2 linked regions of the Caenorhabditis elegans genome follow. The protein of the gene in region 1 purifies or fractionates together with the protein of each later gene. This does not show direct contact. Each region holds a gene or a part of one and is shown on either strand. Other genes may lie near its edges. The genes, in order: C54G4.2 and K09F6.10.

What was found.
Region 2: the proteins of C54G4.2 (region 1) and K09F6.10 fractionate together in Caenorhabditis elegans (co-fractionation; one large-scale study listed by BioGRID). This does not show direct contact.

The regions. Positions count from the first base shown.
Region 1 is NC_003279.8:8,001,046-8,013,548, forward strand, and holds C54G4.2 (Bromo domain-containing protein), read left to right. Parts: upstream 1-5,589; 5' UTR 5,590-5,604; coding exon 5,605-5,832; intron 5,833-6,127; coding exon 6,128-6,415; intron 6,416-6,861; coding exon 6,862-7,160; intron 7,161-7,214; coding exon 7,215-7,333; intron 7,334-7,381; coding exon 7,382-7,548; intron 7,549-7,813; coding exon 7,814-7,984; 3' UTR 7,985-8,071; downstream 8,072-12,503. Other genes in the region: C54G4.4 (Sushi, von Willebrand factor type A, EGF and pentraxin domain-containing protein 1), read right to left, coding at 303-497, 1,569-2,134; C54G4.3 (Methyl-accepting chemotaxis protein), read right to left, coding at 4,146-4,301, 4,349-4,477, 4,629-4,841, 4,913-5,167, 5,225-5,239.
Region 2 is NC_003280.10:2,283,516-2,295,334, reverse strand, and holds K09F6.10 (DNA-directed DNA polymerase), read left to right. Parts: upstream 1-6,451; 5' UTR 6,452-6,553; intron 6,554-6,597; 5' UTR 6,598-6,802; coding exon 6,803-7,225; intron 7,226-7,273; coding exon 7,274-8,002; downstream 8,003-11,819. Other genes in the region: fbxc-25 (F-box C protein), read left to right, coding at 1-354, 495-642; K09F6.7 (RING-type domain-containing protein), read left to right, coding at 3,208-3,283, 3,327-3,502, 3,557-3,625, 3,744-3,986, 4,036-4,288, 4,336-4,418; K09F6.13 (Nuclear receptor domain-containing protein), read right to left, coding at 5,092-5,234, 5,289-5,538.

The sequences.
Region 1 (12,503 bases):
TTGGTTACTTGGTACTTTTCAAAATTAAGTTATAATTGCCGCCAATATTTATTTTTTGTGATACGTAAAACGCAGCTTCCAATAGTCAGGCTTTGGCCAAATTCTACAGTGTTTACAGCACTTTTTTCGGGGGCTAAACATTTATATGAAAATTATCTTAATTTCAGCAGACAAGCTCGAAGGCTGAAAAAATTCACCAATGATGGGAACTAGCATACGACAGTTGCAAGATATCAGGCGAGTAATTGGAAGTTCTCAGCCTAACAATCTCAAAAACTGGAATTTCTTTGAAAATAACTCACCAAAATGACTTTGACTCATCATTAGTCATTGTGCACATTGTGCCACCAAGCGACATTGCCACATTACCGGATGATTGAGTCACAGGCTTATTGTATGCAACGTCAATTGCACAAATTGGTGGCTCATCAGACCAGGATCCATCGGAAAGGCACGTTCGTTCTTCTGAACCAATTAAATCGAATCCAAGGGCACAACTGAAAATATATATTATAATTGAAACATTTTAACTTTTCTTTGATTTTTTAATAATTTTATTTAAAAAATTTTAAATTAAAAAAAAACGGAACCTTTTTGATTTTTCGGAAGAAAAATTCAATTTTTTAATTTTTGTAGAAATCGTTTTTTTTTCCTTCGAAAAACACCGGAAAATAGAACAATCTTGGTTCAAGCCTCTCAATGATGATTTTGAGAAAGTTTCCCACAGACTAAAAGTGCTAAGACTTCGGTAGATTGTTTAGATTTAAATAATATATTTGTCTTCCTATATACATTACAAGACTTTAGTCTATGCCAATAAAAATGTGATCTTTCGAACGTTTCATCTGATGTTCTCCCTCCCCCACCTCCGCCACCATCACATTTTGAAGTTCTCATGAGAAACTGGAACACATTGAGGAATCACATTTCATACGTCAAAAACGGTTAAATTTTGTGGTGAATGTGTGACTGGCACAATTGGGCTCCCGGCCGCGTGTTCTCGTGTGAGAAATGCGCGCAAATCGGGTCGGCAAACAGGAAAACTTTGATGAGGAACTGGGGGGGGGGGGGGGGGGGGGTTGAAACTGAAACCGATACCGGAAAGGAAAAGTTAAGATTTTGCACGGGAATTTGAAAAACTTCGAATGAAAAATTGGAAACTGGAACTATTTATCTCTTTTTTTGTAATAATTTGGAAATTTTAATCTGAACTGTTTCTAATTGTTTTTTATCTAGTTGGCTACAAATCGGACATTCCTCATCCCTGCTTTACGCTCGGTAAGCGCCTCCAAAAAAGTAAAAAAGGTAATTTTTGGGCGAATGAAGAGTCAGGTGAGAGGCGCCCGTCTAGCTCGACTGGGTGATCACCAACATCGAAAACGGGGTTTGAAGATTTTTTGCAACAACAAAAATTTGACGATTTTTATCTGAAACCTTTGAATTTTTAATGAAAAATAAAAACGGAAAACCTCATTTGACAAGATAATGGTGTAATGTTTTTGGAACACTTTCAATTAATCATAAGATAATTTTTAAATTAAATTTTTTCTGGAGTATTCTATTTTTACCTGTATTTTGCAACAGTATCCGTTGCGTACGGTCCAGGCTCATTAAATATCACATGAGCATTTTCGGGTACATATGGTTGAAGACAATATATATGGGAAATTGGAGATGTTGGTGGAAAAGTGAGCCCATTTACTCTACGGAAAAAGAGTAGAAAAAGTAACTGGTAAAGGACCATGAATAACAAAAAATGTTTGGAATGAATAGTCGGGAAGAGAGAGAGAAGTGTCTGTATGTTGTTATATTGTGTATTTGTACGTATTGGAGGGGTGTTGTGTATGAGATATGACCGGGAGGAGAGCAGAAGAAAAACGAAGAGAATGTATCTACATACGGTGGTGGCCGAAGAGTTTGCTCCTGTGAGGGAGCAAGAATGAGAGCCCCTCAGAGAGAGGGAGAGAGGCGGCGATGAGCGGACGACTCGAGGAGGGCGCCCGCGCGATTGAGCCCCCTTCCAGGTGAGAGGGGGTAAATACAATAGATGTGTCTGGATGGAATGAGAAAGAGCAACAGAGATAATTTGGATGGCCGCGACGATCTGAGAAAGCCGTTGTTTTGCTCTGATCATTGCCGATTGTTAAGCCAGTGTTCTGTGTTTGCAAAAAAAACGGATTTTACAGGGAGCATGTCTTTGGAATGTGTTGAGAGGGGAAAGGGATGAGCATTAGTTTATTTAGATGTATACTACTATTTTGAGATCAACTTCAACCTTTGGCAACTTACTCCGTCGTACAGGTTACAAATTCTTGTCAAAGTATGTATCGGAACAACTTGTCAAATTTTTTGCAACATTTTGAGAATTCTCATTATTTAACTGCAACTAACTTTTTCATAAGCTAAATTGCCGAGTTGTTTTCAGTTTCCACCAATACCAAATGTTGCCTCCAACGACAACTCACTTGAAAATAAACTTAAAAAAGATACAAATGTGAAATTCACAATTTCAGTGCTACTGACTGAGTGAGACACGACAATATGCACACAAGACAACTACTGTACTTCTTAAAAGCGCACACTTGTTTTCGCTTGAATGTTTTTAATGATGTCACTGGATACCGTACTCTTTTATTAAAATTTGCTAGATTTTCGTCTTTGTAGTATCTGGGATTTCTGGAAGTGGAAGTTAGCAAATTTATAATATATAGACACAGTTTTTTGTTTGTTCTGGGCAGAGATCTGAAAATCCATCAAAGGATAAAACGACAACTTTTGGTTTGTGTCAATTTTATAGTAATTCCTGTTTTTTGTAAAACGTCCAACAAAACAAGTCGACTGTTTTTGAAAAATACACAACTTGTTCTTTGAGATCCTTTTTTTGTAATTCTTCGACAACATTCCGACTGAGTTGAGATTGTTGAAAAACTCTCGGCATACAAATAAAAATTGATCCAATTGTTCCCTTTTGTTATACAAGTAGACCTCCGTAGTCCAGTCAGTGCGGTAATTGGATCCATGTTTTCCTTCTTTTTCACTCGAACTGTATAATATTTGTATGCGCGCTTTTTCCATTGCAGAGCACCTCTTGAAAGTGACAAGTGCACATGAGAAATTGGATAGTTCTCAAGCTTTTGCCCACGTTTTGTACAGGCTCTATGCGCATAAATCAACCTATCACTTACGCCGTTTTTTGATGGCTCGAAGCGAGCAAGCTCTCTCTCTCTCTTTCTCGCAGGTGATGGCAGTCCGGAAGTGTGCGGAAGAACGAAGAGGCGACAAAAATGCGGATTAACAAATTGGTGAAACTTCGGAGAATGAGAATTGAAGGGATAATAATGAAAAGAGGAAAAACACCAAAAAGTGTGAAAAGTTCGATGACGGAAACAATGAAACAGAAAAATGTTCTGAATGTTGGGATCTTAGCCACAAGATGTAAATGCGAACCTCAAAAGAAAAAGTTTTTTTTTCCCATTTTACCCTTATATTTAGAAATGAGGCATATGGAATCATTTGATTAAAAGTTATGATGCTCGCTTTCCAACAATTTGCTGACATATCCTCAGACGCATTTTTCGCTCGAGAAGTAGCAAAACTTTCAGTGAAAATTAATAGTCTAGTGCAGTGCGCACCAGGGTGTGCGGCAAATTTGCCGAATTTGCCGAATTTGCCGTTTGCCGAGCACGGCAAATTTCAAAAAAGTAGATTTGCCGAATTTGCCGAGCTCGGCAAATCTCGAAATTTGCCGCACATGTCAAAAATTTGACAGTACAATTTTGACTAAAACTATTGATTTTTTCGCCAAAAATTTAGTAAAATGACACAAAATTGAGTTGTTTTCATGTTTAAGCAGACACACTACACGGAACTTATTCAGAAACCAGATGTGTGTTAAGAATTCGGTAGTTTTGGTGCTCCAAAAAACATCAAGAAATATCAAATTTTTCCGAGTCTGTTAAGCACGGCAAATTTGCCGAATTTGCCGAGCTCGGCAAATTTTGAGATTTGCCGCACACCCCTGGTGCGCACGTTTATAGCTGTTCAAAATCTTCGCTTGTCTGGAATTGCAAAAAAAACGAAAAAAATCAATCAATATTTATTGATTTTCTCACAATACAATACAAAAAGACAAAGGCAAGTAGCAATTAATTAGATCCAGACATAGAAGAGTTGTTGGCGGATTTAGAAAACGAAGTGTATGCAGAAGTCGAAAAACTGCTCTCAGGACCGCTGCTGTATTTCAAGGGAACTCCAGATGTAGCAGTATTCGATGCAATTCTCGAGATCATTGTGTGGAAGTTCTGGAATAATTCAGGTTATTGAGGTAGAAAGAAGTTAATGAGCACACCTTGTTAGAGGCAGCATCTCTAAAAACACGCATCTCTCCAGCCAACAGTTTAGCTTCTTCCATGACCTTTGAATTGGAAGATTTCAGACCATAGAGGCCCTCAATTGCTCCACGGAAGGCTTTTCCAATCTGACAAATGATATTTGAATTGGTATATCTTGATGAGCTATCAAAAAGTTATCAACTAACAAAATGGCTTCTGTAAAATTTGGAATATATTGTCAGTTGATAACTTTTTATATCTATACTTCCAGCTGAGCTACTATCGTTCACAACTCACAGCTTGTTCATCAGTTGCATGGGCCTCCAATGCATCTTGTTCCTTCTTTTCCGTACGATGCACCATATCAATAACTTGATCCATTAAATCATTCATATCAACGTCCTTCTCATATTTATAAAATGACTTATTCACTTGAACCACTGATTCTTTTAGGATGTTGACCTTCTTTTCCAATAGTTGGACATCTTTGACCATCAATGTAGAGGCTAACTAAAATGAGAATGATTAAATGCTGAAGCTTGTGTGTTCAAAAACCTTTCTCAGGAAAATTCTTGACTTACCGCTTGATCAGCAGTAGCCTTAGCCTTCTCCATTTTCTGATTCATCCACTTCGAATTTCCAGAGCGGTCCTTGTGAATTTGTTCATCCAACTCATGCATCATTCCACGAATACGATCGAAATCTTCATTCATTGATATTTGCATATCACGAAGTTCCAAATCAGTATGACGACGAACTAGTTCACCTTCACGAATTGATTCGATCGCTTTTTCCGTTGCATTCAGACTACGTTCGATCATTTCTTTTTGGGAATTCTGAAAGGTTGATTGTTTTTAAACCCATAATTACAGTCGAAAAAGTTAAAAACTTACATGCTTGACATCCATCTTAACAATCAATTCCTGACAGGGACGACCAACTTGAGAATAATCGGGAATAAATATATTCTATTGATTTTTTTCCCGATAAGTTCCAACAGATCTACAAGGGGATCAACAATTCTAAGAATAAAAGACAGTTCACGGAAAAATAGGTATTTATAAAACACAATAAATTGAAAGTAACGTGCTAAATTTAAAAAGTTTAATTTGAAGAAGTGCTCCGAAAATAAATTCCACTTCACGAGCTATTTAAAATTATAATATGCACACTTTTTTTAATAACGAAATTTTTGAAAATTTTTTCACGTCCTTGTACTAATTACTTTAATTATCAGTATTCTCATTTATTCCTCACATTCAATTTGATCAAAATGCATCAAAAAAAGACAGTGGTCCTTAAATCAAAAGAATCCGGATCAAATTGTGAAAGGAATCGATCGACAGGTGCTGCTGCTCAACAGAAACCAAAGAAAGTCGTCGAATCCAAGAAGCGTCGACCAAAGAGCAAGACAAAGTCTCCGGAAAAGGAAGAAAAAAAAAGAGATCAGAAAAAACGAAAGTCGGCTTCAATAACACCGTCGACTGAGTCCACTATGAAGGTAAACTGAAAAGTAGGGAGTCGAAGCACCAAGTTTAGCTTTCCAGTAGCTTATATCTTTTTTTAGCTTGGAGATATCAATAAATAGTCAACTACAAAACTATAGAAAAGAACTTACTGAACATTTTGCCACTTAAAAATTTTTGATAAAATTTGAGATGACCGAGAGCTGATAAAGTAGAGCATCGGTGGATGCAGCAGGACCAATGATGCCCCTGATACTGATATCTGCATTCAATTTTGGCTGCTACCCATTTTTTAAAGCAATAAACTCACAATCAATCAAAAAATTTCAGACAAGCGACTTAATAAGCAGTATCGGAGACCATACTGAAGGAGAACCATCAAATGGAAATACCAAGTTTGTTAGCCACCTTCACAAAAAACAAAATTCAACAGAAGAAGACAAAAAAGTGCCAGAAAATATAGAAATGAAAAATGGCAGACGACCAGTGGTTTATGTGGAAGAAGAAAAGGAGAAAAGTGAAAAGAAGTTCCATATGATCCTGGCGCAAAAGTTTTTTAAACGGATGATGGAATCACAAAAGTCAATGAAGAACCCTAGTTTGAAGAAGAGAGATGATGTAAGTTCATGTGAACAGGAAACCTGTATAGAGATTCTACTGTAGAACTTACCTGGTTTGTTGGTTTTCTATCAGCTTTCCGGATATTCCTATAGTACGACTATAAGTGCCGTTCTGCTAAGCTACTAGTGCTCTTATTCAGATCAAGATGGTACTTGTGTATTATACCCCCGCCACTAATAAAATAAAAACGTGTGAATTTTCTATGTATTTTTAGGCGTTAGGAAAACATCGTTCCTAAGCCTAACGAAAAAAACGGTTATCACGTATAATTTAAGTGGTAAATTAATAGAAATTTAATTAAGTTCTAAAATGGCGGGGGTATAATACACAGTACCATCAAGATTCAAAAAAGTACCATCAAGATTCAAACTTTTTAGCGTTTAGTAAGAGAATTGCTGATATACCCAAACTACTGTAGCGAAAGTCGTTTGTATTTTTTTCAGAACCTCGAAGTGATGCCCGAGTCATGCCAAGTGGCGAACTCTGTGAAAATAATCAAGCGACGATCCAGAAAACATCGACCACTCGATCGAAACATCTTCAAGGAGAATGGTGAACCAGTCTGGATTGTCCCCGATCGAAAAGAGCCAGTAATGACAGAGGACGGAGTCATGACAAGATATCCTGAGCTACTAGCGGCGGTTGCTGAAGACGGACTGAAGATTGAGGATGGAAAGCAATGGATTGGGCTGGTCGAGGATTATACAACAGGGAAAATGGATGATGGGATTATTGAGGAGAGGTAGGTTTTGGATAAGTACTGGAAAAGGATAAATGGATTGTTAAATGTTTTCAGCAGAGACCAACTCAACCCATATGACACGATGGCTGCGCTGCAAGATCGATCTGAGAAGTTCTTCAGAATGAACTCGGTGAATTACTACACCATGTCGAATTTGTTGACTTTGAGTAAAGGTGAGAGAGTGTGATTAGACTTTCTTATTACAAATAACCTACTTTTAGAAGCGATTGACCGATTTGCCGCTCAGGAGCAGACAACAGCAGCGGAGCGTCGTAGGAAGGAAGAAGCTCTGAAGACATCGAAAGAAAACGGCAATGAAAATGAGAAGACATGTGTGGTGACGTCGATTACGTTCAAAATGGAAAGCACGTTTAGCATCAGCTATGATGTGAGTTTGAGGGTTTACAGTGCTCAGGCTTACCGCATTGTGTATACTATTTCGGCAGGTGTTTTATACGAAGATGTCATTGATTTTTTAATTGAACTAATATAGAGAAACAAATAATGAATAGTTGTCAGTTTTTCATTAAAGACGATCCAGATACGCTGCCAAAGGTATTTTCAATCGATGCACCATGTGCCTTTGGGCGAACCCTGGATATTTTTGCGTTGAAATACTCAAAATAGTGTGAAAAACAAACTTAAATTTCCAGAGACGTCGCCCGGTGCTCTCGATTCAAAAGTTCCGTAAAAAGTACAAAAAACGTCTCCGCTCAGCGATGGATCAGGCAAGAAGAGGTTCACGAGAGGGCTCACGGGAGCCTGTTTCTCGTGAAGGATCACGAGAATCTGCTTCTCGCGAAGCTTCTCGTGAGAATGCGTAAGAGGAGCAACAACGAAAGAGCACTTTATGATTTTCTTGGTATTATTCAATTCAATACAAACGGGCTAACATGTCAATAAATCTACTTTTCAATTACTGTTTTAGATTAAATAAATTTTAAAGTTTCTCTGGAAGAACTAAGATTTCAAGCTTGTTGACATTACAATGACTTTTTCCAAACGAGCAAAATTGTTTCACTTTCCATATGAGCAAAAATCAATAATTTCAGAAAATACTATGTAACTTTGCTGAAACTACTGATTTTACTACCAATTCAAGTGATAAAATATGAAAAACATTACTTTCTATCTAATTCTGTTTTGATATTTTTTTTCATGTTCAGAATATGGTAGCAAACAGATTTGTGAGGAAGATTTTTTCGGCACCTTTACAGAATTCCATGTTTCTCCATGTTGTGTCAAAGCTTTTCTTTAAAAATTTATACAGCAATATAGAAAAATATTTGAACTTTTCGATGAAAATTTTAATTTTAATTCGATTTGGATATTGATATTTGGGACGGTCTTACTATTAGAGCAACTTTTCAAAACTCTCCACTTATATAGCTGAATAAATTGGGCTTTCGAATCTCTTTACTGTTCGGGAAATAGATTGCACGTTTCAGAACTAGTCAGTTATCTGAAATTCCTCTGAATTGTTTTTTTTTCTGTCAATTTGTGTACCTTGCTAACATTATTTTAGGATCGATTAATTTTGGCGTTCCCTATTATTTCCTATTTTTATGACATTGATCGGTTTAATATTTCCTTCATTGACCTCGAAAGTTGTTGCATTGGTAAACATGTGTACATTTTCTCTCCTCTTTTTTCAATTTTACCCGCTTATCAGCAACTGATAGGCGCGACGTCGCAAAAGACAGGAATATTTCGAATTTTCGATCCCTGCATTTTTTTTTCTAACACATTTTTTCGGAGTGTGGGTATTGCATTGATTTGGAAATTCATGTTTTAGTAAACCTCCAACCTTTTTTCAGTACATTTTTCACTGACTATAAAGTATGTAGATATTATGTGAACAATGTTCAGGAGAAATTTTTCAAAAAAGTTGGCCGAGAACACATATTTTTCAAGGACAGGTTCAATGCAATTCTACAGGTCTTGAAATTAGTGGATTTTTTTCAAATTAATTTGTCAGAATTTGTCAGAATTTCTAATTTCTAAACCATATGATTTTTTTTAAATTTTCAATAAAAAACTGTCAATCTTCAAATTAATTTCAAATTCCAAAATTAGTGTCATTCCCACTGAGTGATCTGTGTATAGAAGTGTTAAACAAACGATTGAAACGTTTTTCCCTCTTCCGATTATTTTCTAGTGTGCCTAGACGAAAAGACAACTATTTTATATAACCAGAGCGCTGGGTAAACTTTGTGTTTGTCAAATGACATTTTCTCTCTCTCTTTTCTAAATTTACAAAAATGTGCGAGAAAGAGAGAGAGAGAGAGGGGGGGGAGAGAGAAATATAGATAAAAAGAACGGTGTGTTGAAAAAAGATGAAACCTGTTGCCAAAGGGCGCCCATTTGGTCGTCAAGTGTTGATGAGACGAAGAAAAATGATGACGATGTGCTATGTTTGGCCACCTTTCTCATCAAGCCTTTTGTTCCAGAAATGTACTTTTACAATCATTCACTTTTTGAAATTACTTTTTCTGGAGATTTTTGGAGAGCTAGGAAATTTGAACTCTCAAAACTTTACATTATGTAATTAAGGAATTTGTTTGTTTTTTAAAAAGATATTGTGAGTCGTTTTGATACGCCGAGACTGGGGGCGCTTCTCCTCGCCTCTTCACTCGCCCAACTCGCGCCCGAACTTTTAACTCATGTGAACCTTGTGTTGTATTGTGTTCATATTTTATTTGCATAAAAATCAGTAACGTGAAATTAAAATTAAATAATGCGGTTCAAGAATCTAAAAAAAAACACGAACGTATTAACTGACTTAGGATTGAGATCATCCTCGGTTTTGTTAATTTCATTTGCTCCGATTTTCATGAGATTTGTTGCATGACGTATTCATGCAGCTATTTTCTTGTTTTTCCCTTCAAACTGCTAATTTTTTTTTAAATTCAATCAGAAATTTTTGCAATAGGTTCGCTATTTTTGAATCGGAATTTTTGTCCCTTTTCAAAATTAATTGTGTATTTTTCTTTTTCTTTTTTTTTGATAGATACAAATTTTCAAATAGTAGTTTTCTAGTTTGCGGGCATATATTTTCCAAAATCAGAAGCTTGTAGGAACTTGTATGATTCATGATTTGTTGTGACCTTGGTCTATAATTCATGAATAATATTATTATTATTTTGTTCTTGTTCTGCCATAATAATCACATTTCCCAAACACTTGATTTTTCAAAATCCTTTTTTGTGCTCAATCGTAATTACTGATCCTGCTTTTTCACTCATTTCTCTAATCTTTATATTTCATTTCTCCAAAAAATGTGTCTGAGTCTCTACTATAAACCATTAATCTCTCACTATTCTTTTTCTTTTCGTTTCTCTCTTCAATGCCATTGAAGCGGGGAAAAACCGACGACGACACACACCACACACACACAAACAACACATTGCATAGGCTATATCAAAAAATTATTAAAAATGTTCTTTTTTTTTTGATTCTTATAAAATATTTGTGATTCTTTCCCATGTAAAATTCCGTTTGAACTTAATTAGTGTTATCTAAAATGGTCTCTGATCTTTGATAGTGTCTCTTCAAAAAGAGGGTTGTACGGCAAATGTTCTCTTTTCGATATGGTTGTTTTAGATAAAAAATTAATATAATGTAGAATAATATTTAGTCAATTTGAACACAATTCTTGTTTTGATTGAATTTTTTTAAAAGTATCTAAAGACTGAAAGTTAGTCACTGCTGAAAAAATGGGTCAAAGTTTTGGCAAGTTTCGGTAGTTGGGCTCTATTTCAAACAAAATTTAGGATTATTTCCAGAGAGTTTTCGAATTTTTCAAATTGCTTTTGCTTTCATAAGTTTGCTTATTGCAGAGAAATCAGCAATTTTGTAGATTTTCCGCACACCCTAAATATCAGGTTCGACAAATTTTAAATGTTCTATTTTCAGCAACACGTTTGGATCAATTCTTCATCTCTCATTTGAACAAAAAATTTATTTTTCATCCTAAAATCTAATTTCAACAAAATAACTATCGTTTTTTTCCTTCCAGATGAATTACTAATTTCACTCTAGTTTTTGCAGAATTTTTGCACTTTCAGTTAATTCATTCATATTAAATTGATCTCTATAATTGCAAATGTCATTTTCTAATCATAATCCCATTAATTTCTGAAACTTGATTACGTAGAATGCATAAACTTTAAGTTGGCAGTCCAAATACACATGCAAATGTAAATTCGACCCTTTCTCGCCCATCTGCATTTTTCATTTGAGGTCATTTTACTTTTGTGACCAACTTTGTGTTCTCTGTGGTCTTTTACTCTTTTTTCGTGATGATAATTATAGTTATAGCAAAAAAAACAATTATTGTGACAAGCTGTGTCCAACGTTTTTCATAAATGTTCCTATAACTTTTGCTCCTGGGGTTCGGAAAGTAATCAAATATTTTTAAATATGATTTGTGTGTGAACTCTAGAAAACTTTTAAATTATGCTGTCAGATGCAGAATTTTCATTGACTAGCAAAAACACAAGTCGAATGCAAACTTGATTTTAACTCTAAAAAATAGTATGAAGAATTTTTTCTATTCACTTTTCCATCGTGGGTGCAAAACGGCAAAACAACCAAGATGTGGGCGGAACCATTACACCCTTTTAAAAAATAAAACTAATTTTGGTGAATATTTTAAAATAGATTCGAAAATATTTTGAAAAATACAAAACATTAAAAGATAAATGTATTACTTTTCTGAAAAAATTCCGATGAAAACAACTAATGAACTTGTTTTCATTTTGAGCTTTTCAGTTTCAAGTATTAAGATTTGAAATTCCTAGTTTTAATTTCTGGCCAGTGAACTTTTCTTTCATATTTCGTTTGATGTTTAGTGTATCACTGGTTTTTTTGCAAAATGTTTATTTCTAATTGATTTGAGTTTCTTTAAAAGCAGAAGTGATTAATTTAGGTTATTTTAAAAGCTTCAAGATATTTATTCTTAATATTTATCGCTAGAAACTAAATTTATACAGGCCCCATCATTCCTCTCGTTAATATTTTGTTGATTAGCTTGGTTAGTTTTCTCTTCGTTAGACGAATTCCCCAAATCTAGGTACCTAGAAGCAGTAGAAGTGTTGTTTTGATATTTCCTGTTTATATCTTCCATTTCTCTTACTTCTCACTCTTCTCATTCCTCTAACTTCTGCTTGTTGTGTTCTTGTGTTCCATTTGATTCTGCTCTTGCTCACCGGAGCCACGGCAGCAAATGCAACAAAAGAAAGGAAGAAAAAACGAAGCACACACGCAAAACACATGGCATATTTTCACTTTTGCATCGTTGTCTCTTTCTCTTTCCTTCTTCATCTTCCTTCTTCTTGCTTA
Region 2 (11,819 bases), on another chromosome or scaffold:
GAACACTGATGAATTTGTTAGATGGATAAATCCACTCATCGAAAATTTGAAAGAACCCTTAGAATCCGTGGATATTGAGGATGATACCCATGAAATCCTCGAAAGTTCATTTTTTGAATCCGAACGATTACTTATCATAAGATATGCCCATTTAAATTTGATTCGGCTAGCTGGGAAAAGAAACGTTTGCATCAAATACGTCAGGTGCGTTACGGAAGTCGGATTGTTGGATTTTTTGAATAGATGGCTTGAGGGCAGAAGGGGTGTCGGAACATGCTGGTGGTTCGCATTGGATGATGAATCTCAAGCAAGAATTTTTTTGGAAGTCATCAAGAAGGACGATCGCGCTGAAGAGTAAGTAAATTTTCGATGTTTCTTGGTTTTGGGGAACATGGTTTTGGTGCTTTTTCCCTTTTGTTCTTGCCAAAGCCAAGCCTAGGCATAAGCCTAAGCCCGGGCCTGAAAAATGATTTATGCCAAAATTCCTATTTCAGAGTCCAAGAATCAAGTGTCTTGTTTCCAATGGGCAACTCTACAGAGGCTTTCATTTTCTATGAAAAAAATGAGCATCGAGATGGAAAATATGGCAGTTGGGAGTTGGTTTACAGTTTGAAGTTTACAGTTTGCAAGAAGAAGCTTTAAAGGAGATTGATTTCTGGATTTTTGCGAATAAATGAAATGTGTTAATGATTTATGATATTTGTGTCCATCTTCTATCGATTTCGACTCATTTTTCGGCAAATCGGCAAATTTCCGGTTTGCATGATTTGCCGGAAATTTGCAGTCCCATCAATTTGTCAGTTTGCCGGTTTGCCGGAAGTTTTTAATTCCGGCAATTTACATGATTTGCCGGAAATGTTTAGAGGGATTTTTTATAAGACGGCAACCCGTAAAACTGTACCTTTTTGAAAATTTTTACCCCGTTTTCTTTAGACATATTCAAAGAAAAAATTTTATAGAATGCGTAAAATTATGTCGATTAAAATTGAAATCTGAAATTTCCAAAAAAAAATGTGCAAGACTCCAATTTGCCAATTTGCCGTCGAGGTTTTAGGAAATTTTGAACCGTCATAAAATATTTCTGAAAAACTTTTGAGAAGTTTCATTTCGAAATTTGTTCCTTTGAGCTGGTGTTTTTTGTTGTGCAATAAAAATTTGTAGAAAAAAAAGGCATTCGAAACTGAAACTCGAAAACTAGAGATTTTTAGTATGGTTAGTGCGTATGCCTGCAGAAATTTTGGTAGTTGGTTCAATTCTACCAAGTGCCAATTTTTTTTTTGTTTTTTGTGAGTAGTCGGGATTCAAATAGAAATACTCGATTTTATACAAAATATGGGTACGTCTCCCCTAATATAAAGCCTCCTCAAACTTCAATCAATCAAAACTCAGCTTTAACTGATTCATCGGGTGCATCTGTTTTTGGTCAAACCGAACTCAAAAATCAAGAAGACTCCCATTGACCTACTGAAATTTTCACGAACCCTCTAACAGGTTCGAGGCGAAGCCGAGAACCTACGCCCGGTTAGGGGACTCGCCCTACACCCCTACAACTGGCGGGCCCGCAGGGCCCGCTAGTCATGGAAAACAATATCCAAATGTGGCTGCACTGAAACTTGGTATTGAGGATGCTTGGAGAGAAATACCAGCCAGCAAAATAAAGAATCTGGTCAACTCAATGTCGAATAGGTTTTTTGAGGTTATCGTTAAGAAGGGAGGTCCCACGACGTATTGATCCTTCATCCAGTTAACAAATTATGATGTTTTAATTGATTTAATTCCACTTCTGGACAAAGAAGGACAAATAGTGCAATCTGGTACAAGTTTCATACAACCTAAAACTCCGTCGATTTGTAAAAAATCTTTCAAACATGTATCCATGAGTGTCTCAAAACATCTTGGTCAGTTTTGGACTCGATCCCACCGAGAATGGGCCTCTGACGCAAAATGGAGCGTTTCAGGACAATTGCGGGATCCTAAGAATCTCCACGTATAATATTTCTGCCGAGAATTGATCACTATGATATCTGAATCAAATTGACTCCGTTTTGTTATCTTGCTGTGTCTAGAAATGTCAAAAAATGTGGTTTTGTTGGAAAAAATATCAAAATTCAGAAGGGGCGCTATAGAAGTTGCACGGCCGTTTTTACGATTTTTTGACCTAGTCACATCAAATTTTGTTATTTTTTCTTGAAAATTTTGGACAAGGGGTTTTTTGACATTTGAAATCGAATGGCATTGTCAGTTTTTCAAGAAAAAAATCAGAATGGCGTGAAACGCGATAAAATAGGGGGCGCTATAGAAGTTGCACGCACTGTATAGATATGAACGATGGTGTTTTGTATGGAGCTGGTATTGAACTGGAAATTCCGGAATGGTGCTATAGTTCAGATATTGGAAGTTAGTGTGTCTTTTGAGTGTACATTATTTTTTATTCATTTCGTGAAACATTTTCAGAGCATTCGCCATCTGACTCAAAGGATCTGATTGCAAACCTACCAACTATCAAATTTGAGCATGGAAATTCAACATTTGCAAATAATCATCGAAAAATTAGTTTAGGTTGAAACTGTGCGATAAGAATTCCTGTCGTTTTAGTTTCATCTAAAACGAGAGTTTGCTCGCTACATTGTTATCTAACAGTGAGAAATAACTTTATCGATTTCAACTTCAATCGTTTTTTTTTCTATTTTTTCGAGCGCTTTTTGGTGAAATCAAAACTTTCAAGCAGTTTTGGTTGATCTTTTTTCCAAACATTCAAAATCAAAGTCCAAAATCAAATAATTTATGTAAATGAAGAGAAAACAGAGAGAAGGTCACATTTCTGGCAAGCTCCATAAAGTCAAGCTGTTGACAGAGTTTTATGTCAGCCCGCTCGTCCTTAGCAAGAATGTCAAAAAACCAACAATTCCTAATACTTCTCATTTTTAATTAAAGCCACATAATTTTTTGAATTGAACTAGGGCGTGATAAAGTGTAGATCAAAATTTTTCGCAAAATTATATGAATGATCCCGTGAGTTCAGGAGGTTTGCTATTCATCTCAATAGATTTTGAGCAATTTCTTAGAGTATTACTTGAAAGGTGCATTGAAACAGGACTGCCTCATAAATATGACATTTATATCTAAGAATGAGGAAGAAATTGCATATTTAATGGTTTTTCAGTGGTAACTGTCACCATTCTTAACCACACCAATTCAAAACTGAAAATGTCAATGCCAAAATGTGAAATCTGTAATGACGACTATTCAAGCGAAGATGGAGATCACTCTCCGCGAAATCTAAGTGAGTGATTTTTTGCGTGGTCTTTGTAAAGTTAAAATTTCAGAGTGTTCACACACGTTATGTGAAGGTTGCATCAAAAAAATGTTAGGTAATAGCAAAATTGTATGCCCATTTTGTCGCGAGCCAACCGATATGCCGGGAAACAAGATGGAAAGTTTGCACAAGAACTTTGCATTGATTCAAGCGATTCAACTATTCGCAAAAACCACTAAGATAACAGTAAATAAAGATAATAAGTTTTTTCATTGATTCAAGCACATTGGACTTTTTCAGGAAGTAGAGGAGCCAATGTTGGAAAAGTGCAAACATCACCCTGATTACTTGGTGGAAACCGTATGCGTGGTAGGTCACTTTATTAAATTTTTTTTTTTCCACTCACTTGTGGAAATTAAATTTTAAATTGCTTTTCAAAGAACTTTCTCATTGATCCTTACGAGCTTAAAGTGTTAGTTATTTGAAGGAAGAGGATTGTTCCGAATCGGGAAAATACATGTGCCGCAAATGTGTATCGACTCTATCTCATTTGCATCATACGAAAAAATCGTTGATTGCGGAAATGGAAAAATCACGCGAATTGCTTCAGGGGAGGATAAATCGCTTGAATAAGACAATAGGCGAGATTGATCAAGATGTTCGAAAGCTCAGGATGTCACAAATTGCGTTTCGCGAAGGTGGAAATAATTACCAACAAAAAGCAAATGAGGTTAGGTGTTTATGAAAACGCGATTGAAATGTGTATTACATTTTTTCAGATAACTACTTTTTACTCCAGAATTCGTGAAATGGTTAATGAACGTGAAAAGGAGGCACTCGTCAAATTAAAGGAAGTGGCAAAGTCAATTTTGGATGAAAATGATAGTGCATTACCTCCGCTGTTAAGATCTCACCAAAAGTTAACTGAATATGTTCGTAAAGCAACTGAGGCAAAGAAAAGGAACAACGCAATAGCATGTATAACAGCAGCAGAGGATTTGCTAAACAAAACAAAAGATTGTTGTGATGAAGGTAGCTATTATTGCATTTGAAGCTAAGAATAAATTACTAGATTTCAGAATATTATACAATCGAATCACAGGATATTAATGTATGCATCAAACCAATTGATATTCCAGTGGCAACAATAACCCGAAAGTAGTGATAGAGTGGCTTTTTCACCACCCCGAGGATTTTTGACCGCAGACGGTCACGAATAGTGTGTGAATCGAGAGATTCAGAGAAAGACGAGAGAGTGAGAGACTTGGTTATAGTAAGAAACTATCGATTTTTTGGGGTGTTCTTGGTCCTCTCAACCAGGGGACAGTTTTTTAACCAGGATTTTTGTGATTTGATTGTCGATTTTTGAAATAGCGTGCGTTTTCGAGAGATTTAGAGAAAGTCAGACAGAGCTTTTTTCGAAACTATTTTCGAAATTGGGTTTCTGTAATAATTCAAATGATTATTATTAATTTCATAACATTATTTCATAACTTTTTATTTCATAATTTTTGTTTTTCCCCGGACCGGATTCGAACCCAGGACACGATTTACATGAACAGATGGCATCTTTTCCCAAAGCAACAAGAGACGATTTGCATGAATGCAAGTGTTACCTAGATTGATGAATCATAGGAAGGAGGCCCCCCACGCCCCGCCCCTGGGGGTTTCAAGAGTTTAAGTTGAACATTTGAACGTTACTTCAATTAATGTTACCTGTGCTATTTGAAGTTTTCGTTTTCGAAAACTTCAAATAGCAGGTTTCTTCAAACAAGACTTTTTTTTGTAAATATTTATTCAGTTGATTAAATTAATAAGACAACAACAATCAAATTTTATAATTTCCAATATTTTTTACGGCATTTCTTACAAACGTCAATTTTCAAAGTTGATCCATCATATTGTGCACCGTCCTGACAAGTCTTACAAAATATTATTGCGACGAGTGGTTCCATTTTCCGGAAAGCAAACTCAGGATCTGAAATTAAAAATAATTATTCATAGTAATTGAAAAAAACTTTTTAAAAATTACCTTTTTTCTCAAGCGGCTTTCCAGATTTGGTCGTATTCGTTTTTGCTGGTACGTTTTTCTTTTTCTTCTTTACACACACTGGTTCGGGATCGATAGGAATATGAATATCAGGAATATGATCATTGGGAACATTTTCTAACGGTGAAAATTGTAAATTTTGGGGTGAAAGGAGTTGGGGATTATCGTTAAAGTTCCAAAACACATTTCCGGGACTAGGGTCCGGATAAGTGAAATTTGAAAATGAAGACATGAAACAAGTGTCACCGACCGAGATAACGTTTCAAAACGCAAATGACGTGAGATTTGGAAAAAAGGGCGGAGCTTCTAGCAAGATTTTCATGGTCATAGAATGAGCTTCAACAAATTTCGCAATGAAACTATTTCGCAATGAGACTATTTCGCAACAATTGGTGACAGGTCCCAGTGGGCAAAGGCGATCATTCAAAAGGGAAGGAGACTTGTGAAATTGTATCAGTAAAAGAAAATCCGAAAAGAAGCTCCATTTATACTCTAGAAACCACCCGCCCCTCTATCGAGCAGATGGCAGTGATTCGGAAGACATGCGCGAAAACGTGCACGACGCATGACAGCTGTCAAAGAGGAGCCGATGTCGAAATCTTTAGAAATCTACATGTTTCATGCAAATTGGTTAACATAGCATTTGGGAGTAGGAGCCGATGTCGTAATCTTATACAAAAATCTTTAGAAATATACAGATTGGTTGCAACAAGGATTTACAGAATTTGGGAGTAGGATCCGATGTGTCGTAATCTTATACAAAAATCTTTTAGAAATATACAAAAATCTATATTCCCAGCGGAACCATAGGTTTTCCATTCAAAAATACGCCCCTAACCAGTTTAGATTTCCGGATAAGTGAAATTTGAAAATGAAGACATAAAACAAGTGTCCCCGACCGAGAGAACGTTTCAAAAACGCAAATGACGTGAGATTTAGAAAAAAGGGAGGAGCTTCTAGCAAGATTTTCATGGTCATAGAATGAGCTTCAAACAAATTTCGCAATGAGACTATTTCGCAACAATTGGAGACAGATGGTGTGGTCCCAGCGGTACTATAGGTTTTCCATTCAAAAACACGCCCCTAACCACTTTCCTAGTGGTATAAATACCCAAGCACAGTGAAGAAAGTTGATCATTTTTGCGAGCAACCACACACTGGTTGTAAAAACCCAAGCGAAAGTTCACACATCTAAAAAGTATTCAGGATGGCAACGAAAAGCGACGGTAAGGATGTAAAAACAAAACGTGAGTTTTTTTAATTGTAAAAGTTTTTAATATATTTTTTTCAGCATCCAAGACTTTTCCAACGGACAAGGAACTACGGCATTTTGAAAATTCACAAAATTTGAAGATTGTGTGGATTTGAAACGTGCATCTAAAGAATCTGTCAAAACCAAACCAACGCGATTCAGCTTCCGGAACCTTGAAAATCTACCTAGAAACAAAACTCTTGACAAAAACATTGGAAAGCTGTTTGATATTTTCATTCGTTCAATGATTCAAAAGGCTGGTGGTAATCTAGAAACTACGGAATATTGGTTGAATCTGAAACATGAAGCTTACGAGGAAGATGATGGATTTTGGATAATGCACCAGACATACGAGATGGCCGACGGATATACTCTGATGAATATAATTGCCGAACAAATGCAGTCAAAGAAGGGACTATGCGTTGACGATGGAACATTCACGTTAACAATGAGAGTGTTCACAAAGGACGAATCAGTTCGCGGAAAGGGATCAGTAGAAATTTCTAAAGATAGGCTAATGTTATTCGGGTCAAAATACCCAAACGTTGTTGGATTCACTCATTGTCTTTTGAAGGCAATAGTCATTGGTAAACTTTGGTATGATTCGAAATCGACAAAAACAAAAGGACAAGAAGCAAAGGATTTTAGAAACCTGACGAGACAAGACGTAAGTTTTTTTAATTTTTAAATGATTCATCTATATTTTTACTTTCAGAAATGTCTGGATCACCGAAAAGGAAAACAACTACAACTTGCAAAGAGTTTGGCAACATCTGTTGGGCTGGATTGCGACCGCGAAGAACATGGATTCGATGATTTACAGAAAATTGCAGACCATCTGCATAACATTTGTGTGTGGGGGCTGAAAAGCGGTTCAAAGGCTACGGCGAAAATTTTTGAAGCAAATAAAGGTGCAAAAGGATTCATTCCACTTCTGTATGTCGACAACCACTTTGATTTTTTTGTACCGAGGATTGATTACGTCAATACCGGATTTTGTTTCAAATGTAATCAATACTCTGGTCGCCGACATTACCAAACATGCGGGGCCAAATGTCGGAGATGTGGTGTCACCAATTGCGAGAAGAATGGAGTAGGCAAGATTTGTGAAAAATGCAACATTGTGTTTCAAAGTGAATCATGTTATGAATCTCATTTAGTAAAGCCGTCTAAACTATCCTTGTCATTTTGCGAACGATATGAAAAATGCAAAAAATGTGGATTCATACATCGTAAAGATTCATATTCCAAAACTGTACACAAATGCCACGACAACGCTTTTTGTAAAATCTGTCGTCAAAGAATAAACGGTCCTCACGAATGCTCACACGCCGCACCTACGGTCGCCAGGACACTTCGAAATTTGGAAAAACAAAAAAAATGGAGGCCTCACTCTACTCATATTCTTTCTTCTTTTCAAATCAAATTTCTGCCTCTTGTTTAAGTTTTTTGTGGAATCCTGTTGAACTGGTCTCTTTTTAATGGAAATCTCAGTGTTTTGTGGCGTCTCATCAACCATCGGCTCTTCATCTTCCTCATCCTCTTCCAGCTGCATTTTATAAAGTTTTCTTGGTTTCACGTTATTCATGCTCTTTCCTCTCTTGAGATCAAACTTTTGTCTCTTGTTTAGATTCTTTGTGGCGTCTTGCTGAAACGATCGTTTTTTAATTGAAACTGGTGTGATTTCCTCAGTTTTTTCCTCTGGTTTCCTCGGTGGAGCAGCTTGCATATCTTCATCGGGTTCTTCAATCTCTTGATCGGATTCTGTTTTTGCTTCTACTTTCACCACGCTCTTCTTTTTAGGTCTACTGAGAGTTCCGTCTTTCTTTTCATTTTTGGACGTTTTCATTTTTCCAGGCGTATTTTTTTGTGGTTCCGTAAAAAGTTCATTTACATTATTTTGCTCCATATTTATTTTTGGAATTTTTTCGTATTCCATATGATAATCCTCATCCTCGGGCTCTTCTTTGATGTAAACGTTTTTGAGGGGCTTTAAATGATTTATTCCATCATTGTGGTTCGGCACGTCATCAAACAATTGTTCATTTTCCGCTTTATAAACAGGAGGATTCCTATAATCTTTTTCTTGATATGATTCTCTCTTTTCAGGAATGGCTTCATATTTTAAATTACGTCTCTCTAGCTTCACATTTCTCTTTTGATTGTCATTCTGTTGTTGTAAATTTTCTTGAACAACATCAAATAATTCGTCAGTGACAATTGGTAGTTCAGGGTGGTTTCGGATGCGGTATAATACATCTTGGTAAAAACGGCACTTTGTAGTTGGATCAACATCTGATGCGGATAAAAAACGCTTGGCAGATTCATATGCAGACCCATTCTCGTAGGGTATCATGTGATATTTGCGAATCAACTTCATTTCCAGAGATTTGTTGCAATAAGTGAAGGAATAACAAGCGTAGCCAATTGCTTTTTTGAAAGCTTAAATAGTAATTTCCTCGCATTGTTGACATCATTGGTACGTGAAATGGTAGTTAGTTGATCGTGTATCGGCTGCAAAATTTGATATTCTGCTAGATTTAACGGAATATTTTTAGAATTAAGCATGTTGTACACAATTTCAACTAGAATATTTATTTCTTTGCTCGAAGCATCTCGAATAGCAATACGATTACGTTTCAAAACAGAATGCAAGAAATCAGTGTGAACAATTAAATGGGCAGCCATTTGTTAGCAAAAGATCAAATACAATTTATAAATCATTTATATAGGGACATTGGCTGTAGGATACTCGTTTGTAAAGTTTGATAAAATACGCATAGTAGGAAGAGATAATGGGTCGTTGTTAATTAATAGCGCCTGATATGGTTTCGACATTACATCCTGGTATGCTTCGAAGGCTCCTCTCCATACGTCTCCAAATTGCTGCATTAGTAGGTGTTTGATTTGAGAGGCGTCCGACAAGTTTCGCATCAAAATAATGTAGGTACTGTTGTTTCGGGTTATTGGCGGGAGTGTAAACGCAGACTGGACCAAATTGAAAATTGCACAATTGAGATGATGAGCATAAAGACAAAACAAGTCGTTGAGCAGATGGAGGGATTTTTTATCTCGTGCAAAAAAGTTCATCAAATCGTCACAGACTAGAATGTTATTCTGATGTTTGTGTTGCTTTAAAAGATCAACGTCTGGTAATCCTTCGATTGCATGAAAGTTGTGCAAGTGTCTTGGTATACTGCTCGGCAATTCGTATCGTAAATTCCTCGCATTTTCCTCGTAAATTCCTCGCATGTTGCGCCTCTCAAGCCAAATAGTGGGCGCTAGTCGTACATTCCTCGTATATCCTCTGGAACCTACGAGGAATGTACGACAAAGGCTTGAAACGTGCGTATATTGAGGTCTCTGCAGCTCGTTTTACTGGATATTTTCCACCATTTTTCAACTTTTTCAACTATTTTCTCGACAGAATGAAATAGGATAAATTATACTTGCTAATATTAGGTTGACAAGAAAGTTTTGCCCTATTTGTTTTGTCATTGTGGGCTGCAGATCAATTTCGGTGTTTATTCACTCCTAGAGATTGATAAGCAGGAAAAAAGTCTGCAGTAATCAACACCATAATGAAGGATTCAAGACTCTTTTGATGAAAGTTTATTTTTCTCCATCGTATAAAATCATACAAAGATGGTTCGATCGTTTCGGAAGTAGCGACTTTTCTTTGAATGAAAAGAAATGCCCTGAAAGACCGTGTGAGCTACATTTGATTGCACTAAATGCCAGTGTTGAATCGGATCCATTTAAAACTACAAGTGAGCTTGCAAGCACGTTTGGGGTTCATCATAGTCTCCTTTGCAGATGGCTTGAAATTGCTCGATTAGTAGCTCATTATTTGACCCGTTCCATCCTTGACCGCCGAACTGGTGTTTCATAAAGCCTTCTCACTCTCCACGGCGGTAGGCAAGCCCTGTGGATTGGAGAAGGAGAAGCCCCACAGGATGTCCCGAAACCCGATCTTCACCCGAAAAAAAGTATTCTCTCTGTTTGATCGGCAAGTGGATGTCCCCTCAACTGGGAGCTGTTACCATCCTGACTTGTGAGGGGGAGATTATTACCGGAGAACCCCACTCAAGACAACTACAGAATTTGAATAAAGCAGTCGATCGTTCAGCCTTGAGGGATAAGAAAGTATATTCCCAACATAATAACGCCCAACCACATGTTGAAAAACAAGTGAAGCAGGAGCTGGCAAAATATGGATGGATGATTCTATCAGCAACCAAATTCTCCTGACATTGCTTCTAGTGATTATTGGCTTTTCTCTGATGTGACTCGTGTACTTCAAAGTAGAACCTTCACAATTAGAAAAAAATCTCAAAGTGGCACTAATGCAATACTTTGAAATCCTGCCCGCTGGATTTTAGGGCAGGGAATCCACAAGTAATCTCAACGTTGGAAGTACATTGTTGATCATGATGCAGCATGTAACTGATTTTTGTTTGAGTTTGCTTCAAGAAATAAATGATTGAAAAATAGGACAGAACTTTCCTGCCAACCTAATACTTGTGAATAATTCTACTAAGTTTCATAAATATTCTGCTTCAAGAAACACTTCAACATTTTCAAATCAAACAGACAATAATATCTGATTGAACTGAAACTCTCACCAGCTGAGCGCATCCTCTTTAAATAACCAATTATAAACTTCGTATCTCGCGACCGTCATGGATCAACAGGTAAGAAGTTTGATTTAGAAACCAACTAGGACAGTAAACAGGCAAGTTCAATTCTCAACAGTGGTACTTTGGAAACATACGAGGAATGTACGACGTGCAAGAACAGCGAGCCACAATGTGCGATGAATGCGCGACGAGATATGAGCGCGGCAACATTACATTTTGTTTTTCTCCTAATCTTGTCGTATGTTCCTCGTATATTGGTCGTGTCTCCTTTTTACACTTACAGTTTTGTCGTACATTCCGGACTTCCTTCTAAATGTACGAGGAAAATGCGAGGAATGTACGATACGAATTGCCGAGTGGGTGTATCTACGCCATAAAACCAAAATATATTGTCAATTGGCTTTTCAAACGTCTCTGAACAATTTTCCAAAATTTTTCTCAATAGTGTAGTTTTACCAGATTGTGTGGCGCCAATGATTGTAGTCTGAGATGGAAAACGAAATTGAAATCCTAGTCGTGGTGACGAACCGTTTGATCGAGACATGGACATGGACATGGTGTGGTGTGGTGATATTGAAAATGTCAGTATATTTATAGTGAGCAATGCGGCTGTTCTTCTTC